2 linked regions of the Callithrix jacchus genome follow. The protein of the gene in region 1 binds, or shares a complex with, the protein of each later gene. Links are inferred from orthologs where the notes say so. Each region holds a gene or a part of one and is shown in the gene's direction. Other genes may lie near its edges.

Region 1 (3,255 bases):
CAGCTACCTGGGCCAAGGGCAAAGGCAAACACTCGGCCAAAAATGTAGACAATGCCAAGTGCCTCCCAAAGTGTTGGGATTACAGGTGTGAACCACTGTGCCCGGCGGAAGTCAGATTTCCAAGTATGAAGAAAAAACAGGCCAAGTCAGATTCCTTTCATTTTTACTCCTTGAGAACTGCACTGGAGTTCATGGCTTAAGCTCCAGGTCCTGCACGACGGGAGAGCATGGCTATAGTGACTACATGCCTTGCCACTTCCATGTGCTGCACAGAGACCGTTTTTCACACAGAAGGTACTTTACTAACAATCCTTCACGTGGACAGAACGCAGCTTGTCAGGCGCTCTGTGAGTGAGTACAACTTACATTGTACTCACCCCCTTTCCTCTTCCAGATCCAGGCCTGGTGGCGAGGCACTATGATACGGAAGGAAATTGGTGGTTTCAGGATGCCTAAAGACAAAGTTGACAGCAAGGATTCAAAAGGAAAAGGCAAAGGCAAGGGGAGGAAGAGAGGCAAGAAGTGACCACGTTGTCTTCTGTCTTTTCCTCTGGTCTCTGGAGGTGGGAAGGGCGTGGAGAGAGTAAGAAGCACCTTGTACCATCACAGGTGACTCATCTACAGGTTGTTTCCCAGGCGAAGCCTGCTGATTTCACTCTCTGATTTAGGATTGTACCATTGACTTAGGGCTTTCTCATACCTTGCTGTAAAGAAGTTTCTGGTAGTCCTGTGAAGATTCATTCTTCTTGCTCTTTCACAGCAGAACCAAGCAGTTCATTGTCTTAGTAACAGCAATGCATTAAAACTTCAGTAATTCCTGTAATGTCTGATTCCGCTTTTACCCAACTGTCTGTAGTGAAAAAACTCTGATGAGCAAAAGCATTCAGTAGGAATTAGAAGATGATGTTTATTAGCTGTCCCGCATAACACAGACACAGCGAAGTTTTAGTAAATGTTGGTTCCTGCCTGCCTTTGACATTTATCTTCACGTTGTTTTTATTGGGGTGAAAACGGCATGGAATACATATCCAATTATAAGCTGCTTCCACAACTTTTCTGGGAAATAGGTAGGGATACAAATTATAAATACAAGCTAGAAATAGGATGTTAGGATATAAAACTTTACAAACTGTAAAGATGAGGACATAGGTTCTCTGGAAGGGTAGTCTGGAGATATTTGTGACAAGTGAAACACTCAGGCCAATACCTGCTTTGCTTACTCAACAATTCCCACTTGATGGAGTGTTAAGATGAAAATAGACAAGGCGTGTAAAAATATCTAACCTGTGCCTGGCACATAGGAGAGCTGACTGTCATTCTCCCTTTTCCTCTAGAAAAAAAAATGAGCCCACCAGGTCATTCTTGCCTTGATTAGTCAAAACAGAATATCTTGGGATGCTAAGGTTTCCCTATAGCATTCCTAGAGAAAAGCTGCCCTAATGTGTCACATACATTTCATGAATTAAGCTTCTATCTCACTCACTCCAAATAAAGCAGTCTTTTTTTTTTTTTTGAGATGGAGTTTCACTCGTTGCCCAGGCTAGAGTGCAAAGGCACAATGTCAGCTCACTGCAACCTCTGCCTCCCAGATTCAAGTGACTCTCCTGCCTCAGCCTCCCGAGTATCTGGGATTACAGGCATGTGCCACCACGCACAGCTAGTTTTGTATTTTTAGTAGTAGAGACGGGGTTTCTCCTTATTGGTCAGGCTGGTCTGGAACTCCCGACCTCGGGTGATCCACCCGCCTCGGCCTCCCAAAGTGCTGCGATTATAGGCATGAGCTACCGCGCCCGGCCTAAAGCACCACCTTGATATCTGTACTTCATTAAGAAAATCAATTTTAACTCAAAAGACTATCCTGAAGCCCCTGTTTCTACTGACATTCCTTCTGGAAATACACGCCCTTTCCTTGATTCACCTCTGCCAAGGGAACCATATTTCAGGTATGAACATTCTCCAATCAGCTGTTATTACACTCCACTGAAGTGTTGGCTTTTATTTTAATATCAACATATAAAGTGGCATACAGGCAATTTAAAATAACACATGATATTGACATATTTATACTTAGAACTTATGCAATATATTTACAGACATACAAATACAGGACAATGTTTTTGTTACAAAACCTTTCACTAATTACATGTTTACAACATTTTCAGAAATAAAATGAAACTTGCTGTAAACCATCTCACTGCACTGTGTATATAGAAATGCTTCTAAATATCTATGTTTTCCTTCATTTCTATAACCATTTAAGCGCGTAGTTTCTACAAATTCATCAAACTCATCAGCAGAGTCACACATCATTAGTCACTGCCGAGCTGTAGAAAGAAATATCGCAAACTCCTCGATTAGCTGTATTTTAAATAGCTCTTAAGGAAGGTAGTCTACTACTAAGACCTTCCTGCTCTGTGTTCTAGAGGAATACAAAGGCCCTCTTCCCATGGTTGTTTCCAGACCTGGCCATTACAAGAGAACAATGGAGTGTAAAACATAGACTGTGAGTCTGAAATCCTGGAAACTGCTGACAGAAAACCTGTCAGTGGCAAGGACTCTGCTGGGTGGACTCTCAGCCTGTTGACACTGTCAGTGCTGGGAAGGTCACTGCTTCAGGTCAGCGGAACTGTGACAAGGTCATCTTCATCTTATGCTGGAGTCAAGCAAAGCTAAAGGTTAAACTGAATTGTGCTTTCCAATTTTTTTTTTAAAAGGTACATACAAAATACTGAATACAAAAATTATCCCAACAAAAGCATCGTGATTTGTTTTTGCGTCTTGATACAAAAGAAATTCATACCTCTGCAGAGGGTTTGAAAGAAAAAAGAGAACATCAATGTATTTGATATTTTTCCTTCAATTACCAGCCAAAACTGCAGTTTTTCCTAACAATTCGAATACAAATCTGATTTACTTTGATAAAAATACATTAAGAATGTTTCATAATATGTGCAAAATTTGAAGTAAGTTGAAATTTCCATTTACTCCTAAGGGAAAATAAGTTGCAAATGTTGCAAGTACTGTATTATATAATGTCTTCTAGAATTATTCCTTGCATAATATGGTGTGTTTTTTTTTTTTTTTTTTTTTTTTAAGATGCAGTCTTGCTCTGTTGCCCAGGCTGGAGTGCAGTGGCATGATCTCAGCTCACTGCAACTTTCGCCTCCCAAGTTGAGGTGATTCTCGTGCCTCAGTTGCCCGAGTAGTTAGGATTACAGGTGCCTGCTACCATGCCCAGCTAATTTTTTAATTTTT
Region 2 (3,500 bases), on another chromosome or scaffold:
CTTTCAAAACATGCATCAGCGAGACCGTCGGTGATTTCCCACTGTTTTTGGGCCAGCAGCCTTATCACTGTCACGGGCAAGGAGGCCCTGCAGTCTGCCCTGCCTCTCCCTAGCCTCGTCTTGAAGCCTTCTCGTTGCTCCTTGTACTCCAGCCTCCTAGCCTCCAGTGTGTCAGCAGAGTCTCAGTGCGTGCAGTTTCCTCTTTGTGAGAGTCTCTCCCTCCCGTCTTCGTCTCATTACCTTCTACTCATCCTTTCTAAATCAGCTGGAGTGTTATTTCCTCGTGAATGACTTCCCTGGCCTCCCGGTCTAAGAGGTGCTCTATTTATTTATTTTGACATGGAGTCTCACTCTGTCGCCCAGGCTGCAGTGCAGTGGTACGATCTCGGCTCACTGCAACCCCATCTCCCAGGTTCAGCGATTCTCCTGCCTCAGCCTCCTGTGTAGCTGGGCCTACAGGTGTGTGCCACTATGCCCAGCTAATTTTTGTATTTTTAGTAGAGATGGGGGGTTCACCATGTTGGTCAGGCTGGTCTTGAACTCCTGACCTCAAGTGATCCGCGTGTCTTGGCCTCCCAAAGTGCTGGGATTACAGGTGTGCGCCACTGCGCCTGGCCGAGGGTTCTCTATTGACTGTTCCTACAGACCCGTGCTCCTTCCCTTCACTGTGCTTACATGGATTTACAAGCACACTGTCTTCCTGTTGCTGTGTCTTGATTAATGCATGTCTCCCTTATCAGAGTGTCAACTGTACAGGTTCAAGATGAATGATAAAGAGAAATCTTAATAAAATATATTTGTTGGATGGATAAATGGCTATTTACTTATTGAATGTTTAGATAGAGGAAGAAGAACCCACTGGATACATTCGATTTGAAAAATTTCTTCCGGTGATGACAGAAATACTACTAGAAAGAAGGTAAGTAAGTAAATGCAATTGTTAAGGCAACGCAACGATCAGAATTCATTCAGGACGCTTGGCTCTTTCCCTTCGTATGTTATGTTCAACCAGCGTCTCCTAAGGTGGCCTCCTTCTAACCTTTCTAGATACTTCTGAACTGCCAGTTGGTACATGCTTAGAAATATCAAACACATTCGTGTTAACCTTAGCAAAGCATAATTGGGGGCAAATAAGCTACAAAGATCATAAGTCAACATTCTTATCTTCTGTTTTGAATTATCAATGATAAAAAAGAATCCTAATATTTCTAGCACAAATATAGCATTAGCTTGCCAGAGTTGGTTCATCATGGAAGTCTTGTGCCCACCGAAATTGATTTCTGAAAAGCTAATAGATAACCGCAAACATGTCAGTGATTTTGCACTAAATACTTCCTGTGGGGCTGAGGTGTTCTCCACTTTCACATCCAGAAATCCAACAAGATTTCAGCGAGGCAAGCATTACCATCCCAGTATGTTAGCAGCTTTTACTTCTTCATTTTTATTTTTTGGGCTGGAGTGCCATGGCGCCATCTCAGCTCACTGCAACCTCTGCCTCCCAGGTTCAAGCCATTCTCCCGCCTCAGCTTCCCGAGTAGCTGGGATTCCAGGTGCCCACCACCATGCCCAGATAATCTTTGTATTTTTAGTAGGGACAGGGTTTCACTGTGTTGGCTAGGCTGGTCTTGAACTGCTGAGCTCAGGTGATCCACCTGCCTCAGCCTCCCAGAGTGCTGGGATTACAGGCGTGAGCCACCACGCCCGGCCCTGGTTTGTTTTATGTGGTCATTTATTCATTCCAGTGGTCCCCAACTACCAGGCCATGGACTGGTACTAGTCCCTGGCCTGTTGGGACCCCTGGGCTGCACTGGAGGAGGTGACCAGCAAGAGAGTGAGTGCTGCCACCTGTCAGAGCAGCGCTGGTGCCAGAGTCTCATCGGAGCACAAACCCCATTGTGAACTGCGCGTGGGAGGGATCTAGGTTGTGCTCCTTATGAGCATCTAATGCCTGATGATCTGGGGTGGAACTGTTTCATCCCCAAACCATCCCCCCAACCCCGGTCTGTGGAAAAATTTCCTTCCATGAAACCAGTCGCCACTGCCAGAAAGGTTGGAGACTGCTGCTTTATTACGCAGAGACGATGGTGAATACTATGGCACTGACTCAACCTATTGCATAATTATAGATACAGACCCATTCCAGAAGATGTCCTTCTTCGAGCCTTTGAGGTATGTACACTCCAGCTTATATACATATACATGTATATAAATACAGACATTTATATACACACGTGTATGCTCATTTATGTGAAAAATTCATCATGTAGAACTTACCAAATGAAAAAATAGAATATCTATCTTTTCTTTTCCCCTAGGTTTTAGATACAGCTAACCGTGGATTTCTTACTAAGGACGAATTGATCAAGTACATGACTGAAGAAGGTAAGCGTGATTTAGTGCTTGCAACAGTGACCTACGTGAGGAATTCATGATTTGTCAGCAGTCATGTAAAGTTATGGGGAGACGTTAGAATCAGTCATTCTGGTGGAAAGTTATTTACTGTTCCTACTGTTTTGGTTTGGGGATGGTTTCTGTTCTGTGGGGGTTAAGAAGAGTAGGATAAGGGGAGCTGTGTTGTTGTCTTAGAGGATTTTGTAAAGTATAGTGATTACTTCTGTAATTGCAGTCATTCTGAATGGAATTTTCAGAATAAAAGATATGCCATCTGGAAAACATGAACTATCAATCACTGTAAATGAAGGCCTCTTCCCAGATTGAAGATCTGAATAGGAGTCTCTACAAATTTCTTTCTTTTTTGTTTTTTTTGAGACAGAGTCTTGCTCTGTCACCCAGGCTGGAGTGCAGTCTCAGCTCACTGCAACCTCTGCTTCCTGGGTTCAAGTGATTCTCCTCCCTCAGCCTCTCAAGTAGCTGGGATTACAGGCGTGGGCCACCATGCCCAGCTAATTTTTGTATTTTTAGTAGAGATGGCCGGGCTGGTCTCAAACTCCTGACCTGAGGTGATCCACCCATCTTGGCCTCCCACAGTGCTGAAGGAATTTAAAAATTCCTTTTTAAAAAGCTTTTCTGTTGGTGAAGTTATAGATAATATAGCCTAAATTTAATATGAGGTCATTTTTAACACTAAACATTTCCTCTTTTAATGTTAATGGAACCATATATATATGCTTTGAACATGGCCCTTCATACATATGCATATACACACATAATACCTGCACACTTACATATGCCAACATATTTCCTTGGGAATTCCCTCTGCTAGGCTGATGTGTACATTTGTTTTCCCTGAAGGTCGTCTCCTGAAACCATCCTCATACTGGTGACCTTGCCTTCTCCTGTACAGAGCTAGAGCTCTCTGGTTCACAGATTGAGTTCTGAATGACTCAGAGTTGCTAATCACTTGAGACAGAATCAAAAGTGCAAGTAATCTGGAGCAGGGAAAGCTAAGACTGCATCTACGTGCACAACTGGCTTGACCATTCCAGCGTGATCCATTAGGGGGAATACAGGGAGTGGGAGTAAGAATGACACCGCCATCA

Evidence for each region. Proteins that work in one complex are often made in the same cells at the same time.
Region 2: DRC9 (region 1) and DRC8 share a complex: the UniProt entries of both Homo sapiens proteins name them as parts of the nexin-dynein regulatory complex. The link is inferred for Callithrix jacchus from reciprocal best matches to the Homo sapiens genes DRC9 and DRC8.

The regions. Positions count from the first base shown.
Region 1 is NC_133518.1:81,434,553-81,437,807, reverse strand, and holds the end of DRC9 (dynein regulatory complex protein 9), read left to right. Parts: intron 1-394; coding exon 395-526; 3' UTR 527-838; coding exon of another isoform or gene 839-850; 3' UTR 851-2,755; downstream 2,756-3,255. UniProt on the Homo sapiens protein: Component of the nexin-dynein regulatory complex (N-DRC), a key regulator of ciliary/flagellar motility which maintains the alignment and integrity of the distal axoneme and regulates microtubule sliding in motile axonemes.
Region 2 is NC_133520.1:41,147,455-41,150,954, reverse strand, and holds part of DRC8 (dynein regulatory complex protein 8), read left to right. Parts: exon of another isoform or gene 1-839; coding exon 840-919; exon of another isoform or gene 920-2,126; coding exon 2,127-2,169; exon of another isoform or gene 2,170-2,315; coding exon 2,316-2,382; exon of another isoform or gene 2,383-3,500. UniProt on the Homo sapiens protein: Component of the nexin-dynein regulatory complex (N-DRC), a key regulator of ciliary/flagellar motility which maintains the alignment and integrity of the distal axoneme and regulates microtubule sliding in motile axonemes.